2 linked regions of the Schizosaccharomyces pombe genome follow. Changing the gene in region 2 together with the main gene of any one other region gives a genetic interaction. Each region holds a gene or a part of one and is shown on either strand. Other genes may lie near its edges.

Region 1 (3,973 bases), on a different chromosome or scaffold from region 2:
AATATCCCAACCCCAATAAAGCACTTTCATCCAAACACTCGAATGACTTTTTCCCTGTCGCAAGCATGTATTCTGTTGCAAAATCCTGGATGCTATGAACTAAATCCTAAACATAAAAAGATTAGTTAAACAAGTATTGGCAGAAGCTGTGAACTTACAGGATCCGGCAGTTCATGTGGAATTGGAACAGAAAAATCCTGTACTAAATCACGAGCTCTGTAAGACAATTCACCATCAGCATTCACCAAATTATACAAAGTTGGCCGAGTTGGTGGATTTGACATTAATAGATGGCGTTGGACGTAGAGTATGTACTATGCTAGGTGAAGCTTCTAATTCGTCCTTGCAGTAGTACAATCATATTTGGAAACACCAAGCTCAAGTAATGGAATCCCCACATTCTTAAAAGTTAACTGCGACTTACAGAAAATTTATCTCGAGGTTTACAGACATACTGAAAAAATAGTTCAGGCTTTACGACATAACAACAAAACAACTTTACACAGATACAATCCAAACCATATTATATTGACCCAATACTTAATTAAAGTGGGTTATTAATAAAACGTAAAGAACCTTTTCGCCATTTTTGAAAGGGGAATTTTTTTTCTGTCATATACAGATTTAATCTAATACTATTTATCGGTCCTGCCGCGTAAAAAGACAGAATGTTGATAAAAATGCAGAAGGAAATCGAATGGTCGATATAGACCATCCGTTGACCACAATCGTTCATTACCGCCTAGCATGAACAATAGAAATATGTTAAAAAATTTCGGAAACAGCGGAGCAGGGTTCGAGAGGGAAAGTAGTTGCTCTAAATATGAGCTTTTGATAGCTCATCAGCAAGTTCTTTGTCTTCTTTTTCTTCTTCAGAAGTCTCCGGCTCAGGGCTTTGAGACTCAGCTTCTTCTTCTTCATCCTCCTCCTCCTCGTCGGTAAGTTCCTCCATATCATCAAGCTCATCTAGTTCACCACGACCACGGGTGCTAAAGACTTCACGTATTTCATCAACAACATCGTCTTCTTCCGAAAATCTGTTTCCATTTAATTCAAGGAATAAAAGATCCGGCATTTTCTCATCAATCACAGTTTTTAGGGTCCGGACAGCATCCAGCTCTATCTCGTTATACTGTAAGCGTAACGTTTGAAGCCCAATATTTTCTAATTTAGAAAAAGCATCTACAACTGCGGCAGCACCGCGAGCAGATAAGAGACAATCGTTGAGGCCTAGTTCTCGAAGGTTGGGCCAGCTTTTCAACGCGATAGCGAGAGCGCTAGAGCCCAAGTGCGTAAATGTGTTATCTTGAAGATCGAGTACCTTTAGCTCTTGGCAATATGCTAATCCTTCAAGCAATAAGTGTTCAATACCTTCGGGACGGATACCATTTTGCACCATTTTCACTGTATGTAGCAAACGGTGGCTCTGGAAAGTTTTAGCCCATTCTTTCATACTCCCATTTTCTAAACGATTTCTTCCACAAATAATGGAACGCAAGGGAGGTGCATTTTTAGCTTTCTTGTTGACCGCCAGCTCTTGCAAGGCACGAGCAATTTTTGCGCCAGCTTGAGGACCGAGTCCATTATTGTGTAGGTAAAGATGCTCCAAAGGTGTGTGTTTTGAAAGAAAGTCAATCAAGGGCTCCTGTGCAGTAGGGCCAAAGGCATTATCGCTCAATCTTACAGTATGTAGTTTTGGGCACTTGAGTAAAGCTTGTAGCAACAGACGTAAAGCCTCAGGAATTTCATCTTTGACACGTCCAGTAAAGATATCACTAAACTCTGCAATTTCTAAATCTTTTTTTGAGGCAATATTCTCTGACAACCATCTAGCAGCTTCGGTTCCAATTGTGTTACCAGACAATACAATTTCCTTTACAGAATCATCTTCTAACAGAACAGCAAATACAGACTTCTCGTCTTCAGTTGTAATTGCATCTAATTTCAAAGACTTCCCTTCTATTGAAAAACGCGACATGGAGTTGGTTGTTGAAAGAAAAAATATAGCAGGTATGGTGGTGAGGAAAGATTGTGTGAACTAGCTGTGTATGTTAAATTTGATCGAGGATAGATGCTTCAGTCACTTGAATTCATGGCTTTTAAAAAAGAAACTAAAATAATATTCAAAGTAGAAGAAGAACGAAATTTATCCTCTTTTGACGGATACCCCCTTTACTCAACCTGTTTTTATTTACAAACTCAAATGCGATCTCTCGCTAATGAGTTTAATTTTAAGACGATTCTATGCTATTAGAAGTCATTTAAATTATTAGATCAGATTAGCGCAAACCGAAAGATACTCAATGTCGGAGTGGTGCATTAGTGCTCGGATACGTTCCTGAAAGACATGTATAAAACTTTTGTAAATAGGATGATTGAGCTTTTTTGACATTTATCTATCATTCATTTTTGAAAAAATAGCTGTGACAATCCTGTTGCATATAGTTTGTTTTTTTGACTAAGTATAGAGGATCTTATGAAGAACCTTTTTGAGTGACCTTAGTCCTGAATTCTTAGCTTAAGTTTGCTTTAACTTAATTGCATTTCTAGCAATTAACATTGCTAGATTTTTGCCTCATCGCTAGTCCATTTATAAGAATACGAAGTTGAACGAAGGAATATTGACCAAAAGAGCTTGGTGACTTCCAAAAAATGAAGAATCAAAAAGATCTGAAATGAGTATCCCTATCTTTCAGCTTTCCGCTTGTTTCGTGATCATTTCAGTTACTCACACATATACATTTATGAGTTGACCCAAAAAGAAAATCGGAAAGCGGGAGTTTAACAGATATATGAAAAATCAAGATAATAACAACAATTGATATTTTTAGTTTAACATTTCTTATTCATTACTGTGAAAATCCACGAGTCTGCACTCTAGACACATAGAATACTCTTTAAACAGCTTTCACATTATCAGGAAAGCTATTCCATTGATACTGTATTCTTTTCAGTAAATTAATTCTCATTTCATAGTTGTAACCATTCTCGAATTGGACTTCAGTCCGCATTCCAGTACTTGATCTGCTTTACCTGTTTCAACAATTTGAATCGTTTGATTATTTTCCCATTCAATCATGACATTGATTTAGACGTATTGCTGAATTAAGCCATTCCTGTTATTTGTCCCAACGTATAAAACTGGTTAAAATGTTTAAGTACTGTGAATCATGTCATTAAAAGTTTGGAAACGTGATTTTAAAGGAACAACTCATTATTTTGAACATAAATCATTACCATACAGATTTTTCTTCTTTTTCTTCTTTTATTATAAATAGGATACGATAAGTAGAGGAAACCGTAAATTTATGATGATTGACTCCATGATGCGGTAATTTCAATCCTTCCACTACACACTGCCTTTAATTCCAGGTCCATCTGGTTAATCATTTTTTAAAGAATCTAATTCATTCATATTTTTTTATTATAATTTACATTATATTTTCAATTTCTTTTTACTGTTTTCTCTCGTTTCTTGAGTCAACGGGCGAAGATTCGTGTTTCAAACGTAGTATTCTTTGGAATATCACAAATCTCATTTTAATTTTTAAAACGGCTTTCTAATTTTCTACCGAGAAAGAGTAGAAAGTTTCCCATTTCATTCATAATTTCTGATCCATTCTTGGTATCTTATTGTTTTGCTTTTATCCAATCTCAGTTTATATTTGTGAAACTTGAAAAAGAGTTTCTCTTGTCTCTAAAAGACTAAATTTTATTTTTTATTTTTTTATTAATTTGCATTTAACATCTGCTAATCTTTAAAATGGCAGTCCTACAGTGGAAGTTATCTCGTGTTATATTCGTGTTGTTAATCATTGGGATTAGCTCTTTTCTCATTTACTTCCAATTTGGAAACTCTTTTTCTGCTTCACCTGCTTTAGAACGTTTACAAGATGTATTTTCCAAACCAAGTGTACAAGAATACGACTACTTAGTACCTCTGGATGAAGATATGCAAGGCCTTAGCACGACG
Region 2 (4,442 bases):
GTTAATATAGCGTTAGGACCTTGTGTTTCAAAAGGAGTTGTATAGTAACAGAGTTTGTATAACAAGACTCCTAAAGCCCACATGTCACTTTTCTCATCAATTCCTAAGCCTGAATACAAATTAATCATCTCAGGGGCACGATATTGGTAGGTAGTAAATGTGTTGATACTTTTTTCTAATGCTTGAATTTCGCTAGAGTTTTCAGCAGCATGCATTGGCTCAGTCACACTTCCAAAATCGCACAATTTAAAAGTATTAAAGCTTAGCAAAACATTTTCTACTTTCAGATCGCGATGAATGAGAGGAGGTCTCAGATAGTGTAAGGAAGCAACACCCTGTACAATATCTGAAATAATTTTTAAGACTTCATGCTCTGACAACCGAGTTTGTAACCTTTGATTCATAAAATCTATCAATCCACCCCCAGCGCAGTATTCCATCAAAAGCAGGATTTCAAATCCAGTGTTGACACCCGCTTTCTCGAGAGGAAATATGCAGGAGTCGATATACGAAACCACGTGGGGATTGGATTTGAGTAGTTCCTAATAAGTTAGACAAAAAAATCAATAACGTTAACATACCATCGTTTCGATTTCAGTTTTCACGAAACGCAGGGCATTCTCGTCTGGAGAATACATGCGTTTCAAAACAGCAGTTATCGGTGATCCATCAGTTTTGGAATTTGTTTGAACAAGATATACATGAGAAAAGCCGCCTAATGAAAAATGTTAGTAAAATAAATCTTTCATTGTAATACTCCTCGATCCATCCAACCCAAAAATTATACCTTCGGCTATGTACTTTTCGATAGTAACATTGTATTTTCCAATTACAAACTTGGATCCTGCTAGAAGCTTTTCGCCCGTGAGAAAGGATGCAACAGACATCCTAGAGAGGTTTTTTGTTCAATACTGGCTGAAGTCGCGAGGTTATTGTTTACACTCTCGCAATTCAATGGGACAGCATCCGAAGCCCTATCTACGTTAGTTGTAAATTTATTATAATAACTTACTCTTTGAAAAGGCTGTATTTACACAGTTTTGATCAAGATGAGCAAGGGATGCCAATTCTGCTGTTGGCAAGGTACTGAGCCAGTCACCAAACACCACAAGTCCCTTCTATAGGGTTAACCTTTGAGCCATTACCGATAGATAAAACCGCCCCCCACAAGACAACTTGCCGTATTTTGAAAATTTCAACTACAACTTTTAATAATTTGAGCTGATTAAGAAGAGAAATTAATTTTACAGTATACTCAAGTTCACAGGCAAACTTGTAGAATCAAGTTGAGTAACATCGTTACCCAAATTTATGACATGGCAAATTCACAGACATATAAATCCAGAAAAGAATAAAGAAAACAGAAACTGCTAACGACTATGTTCATTGTAACTAAATATTAAATCATGAGGGAAAAAAGTATATGGTCCTCATAAAAATAATTTATGAAGAGATTAAAATCGCGTTGCTTGAGTTCGTATTCTCGCATACGATCTTGCTGAACGATGGACACTCCGAGTCTTACTGTAACTTCTTATGACTAATGAGCTTTTTTTTTAAATTTGATCTTTGTTTAGCTATACATGAAACCGCTTTCTCAGATAAGAAGAGGTCTCAAATTTTCAACATTCGACGTGATTAAACGAATTTATATAAATCAAATGAAGTTAAAAAAAAAGAAAGGATTTCATAAAAATTCGTAGCTCACCTTACACACATTTGAACAAATACAAGCTGGGAACTTTTACTGAAGTCAATAACTTATTTTGCTAAACGAAGCTTATGTTGTAATTAACGAATGCTTAATTACAAGCTGCACATAACAACGATTCGCAGTATACTGAATAGTGAGAATCCGTATACAGAACGACTTGTTCGAGTTTTGAAAACAACGTCTCTGCGAAAACAAAAACGACATAAATCGTTGTTTTTTGTCTTTTGTAATATTTTAAACCCAAGCTATAGTAAGTGGTACCAAAAAGTAAATGTAATTCTTGGATTTGCGTCTGGTGATGGTTGCATGGAATACGCGATGACATCTTGTTCTTTTTTAAATTACAAATCGATTGTTAGTAGCAAAGCTAACCCTTCCAGCTAAAACTCATAATGACTTCTAATAGAAGTACTAGAAGCTCAACTAAAAGAGAGGAGGTCTCAAAAAATGGGGTTGAAAAAAGAGAATTAGATGAATCAGATGTGATGAAAAATGGCAAAAAGCCGGTTAAACGTGCAAAGGTCAGCTCTCTACCCAAACCCGTTCGTGTCCCAGGAAGCGCAAAGCGAATTAATAAGATACCTGAACTACCTACGGAACGATTGAACGTTTACGTCTTTGGAAGCGGTTCCATGAACGAGCTAGGTATGGGCGAAGAAGAAATGGATGTCGTTTATCGTCCTCGTTTGAATCCTATTTTATCTACAGATAAAGTAGGAGTAGTCGATTTGGCTGTTGGCGGCATGCATTCTGCAGCCCTTTCTCATGACGGTCGCGTATACACCTGGGGAGTTAATGATGACTATGCCCTTGGTCGTCTTACTAAGGATCAAAAGGATGAGAATGGAGACAAAGTTGACAATGATTTACTAGAGGGAACTCCTTCTAAGGTCGAAGGTGCTTTATCTCATCTACGCGTTACAAAAGTTATATGTAGCGACAATCTCACTGCAGCAATAACGGACAATGGCTGCTGCTTTACTTGGGGTACTTTCCGTGTAAGTAATTTGTTTTGGCCGTGAAAAATTATCATTTGATCTTTGATTCCAAATTCAGGTGCTGTTATCGTTGCAGTGTTGTTTATAGTCTATTGACTCATTGTATCATTTCCCTTCGCCCTTTTGGAACAAATGGCTTTATAAATTTATCATTTTTCGTTTGCTAACATACTAGTGTTCCGATGGTGTATTAGGGTATAGCGATTCTCAAAAACGTACAGCTGAACCGACGCAGATGCGACTTCCCGAAATTTGTCAATTAGCTACAGGGACGGACCATATTATTGCCTTGACTACCACAGGAAAAGTATATACATGGGGTAATGGTCAACAGTTTCAACTGGGTAGACGTATGTTAGAACGTCGTCGACTTCAAGGCTTGACTCCTCAACCGTTAGCTTTAAAAAATATTATTTCAGTTGGAGCAGGATCGTATCATTCTTTTGCGATTGACAACAAAGGACGCGTTTATGCTTGGGGCTTAAATATAACCAGACAATGTGGAATAGAGGTAGAAGATGAAGAAGAAGGCGCCGTTATTACAAAGCCTACACTCGTTGATGCTTTAGAAGGATATAATGTTAAGTCTATTACAGGTGGTGAACATCATACCCTAGCCTTACTTGAAGATGGGAGAGTGTTAGCCTGGGGTCGAGATGATCGTCATCAATTAGGAATTCCGGATAATGCACTTCCAGAAACAGTAGTTAAAGATGAAAAGGGAAACAATTACTACTTGTCAACCCCTACTATAATCCCAGGACTTACTAATGTTATACAGGTCGTGTGTGGTACCCATCACAACTTGGCTGTTACCTCAGATGGTAAGGTTTATTCATGGGGATCTGCTGAAAACTACGAGGTTGGTCAAGGTGATAATGATGAAGATGTAGCTGTTCCTACATTAGTTCGTTCCAAGGCAATCAAGGAAGTGGCGATCCGTGTAGCGGGTGCAGGTGGTCAATTTTCCATCATTGCTGGTATTCCCAACGCTTCCGAAGAGCCAGTTGCAAATGGCATAAAAAGCGAACCCGAAAATGAAAAAAAATTAAAAACCGAAGAAACTTCCAAAACGGATGACTCTCCCGTTACTGATGCAAAGCCCGATGTCACCTCTAACGGCGAACCATCTACCGCTACATCTGAATCTAAGGATTCTGTTCTCGAACCCAGCTCCACCACTGCTTAGTACTTAATTTCTCAATTTCTTTTAACTATTTTTGGGCTAGATAAATTATTTTGAATATCAATGTGTTTGATGCATACAAAATTCATGAGTTTTCCAAATGGATAAAAAAATCGCAGATTTGCTTCAAGAGCTTCAAAGCTCCTCCAACGTAACGAGTAATCAGCTTGAAAATGTAGACAAATCATCCATCCCTCTATCGAAGGCTCGGAAACCCTCTGATTTTGAGTTGAACAATTCTATAGAGGACGCAGAAAAAATTAAAACCTATCCCGCTGCCTTGAGGTACATCTTTGCCCTAAATTCCCGCCATCCCGAAAAGTTACAAAAATTAAGAAAGATGAAGGCTATGCAGGAACGTCAAGAGCGCAACTGGTCTCTGGAACGGCAGCGGCTAGTTCAACATTTTGAGTCGAAAACTAAGCTTCAAGAAATACTGAAACCGCTTTCCTCCGACCCTAAATTGAAACAACCGTCCAATTGTCTTAATGACCAGACCAACAATGATTCCGCTCAAACTTTAGATGACAATAGGGCTTTACAA

What was found. A genetic interaction does not mean that the proteins touch.
Region 1: of pim1 (region 2) and rna1, extra expression of one is lethal in a mutant of the other (dosage lethality), as found in Schizosaccharomyces pombe (one study listed by BioGRID).

The regions. Positions count from the first base shown.
Region 1 is NC_003424.3:5,029,789-5,033,761, reverse strand, and holds rna1 (RanGAP Rna1), read right to left. Parts: upstream 1,992-3,973; 5' UTR 1,979-1,991; coding exon 818-1,978; 3' UTR 501-817; downstream 1-500. Other genes in the region: RNA polymerase I upstream activation factor complex subunit Rrn10, read right to left, coding at 1-106, 159-284; alpha-1,2-galactosyltransferase Gmh3, read left to right, coding at 3,764-3,973.
Region 2 is NC_003423.3:2,488,493-2,492,934, reverse strand, and holds pim1 (RCC1 family Ran GEF), read left to right. Parts: upstream 1-1,899; 5' UTR 1,900-1,964; exon of another isoform or gene 1,965-2,094; 5' UTR 2,095-2,106; coding exon 2,107-2,712; exon of another isoform or gene 2,713-2,887; coding exon 2,888-3,901; 3' UTR 3,902-3,916; downstream 3,917-4,442. Other genes in the region: Ark1/Prk1 family protein kinase Ppk29, read right to left, coding at 1-542, 582-715, 788-887; SPOM_SPBC557.02C (uncharacterized protein), read left to right, coding at 3,999-4,442.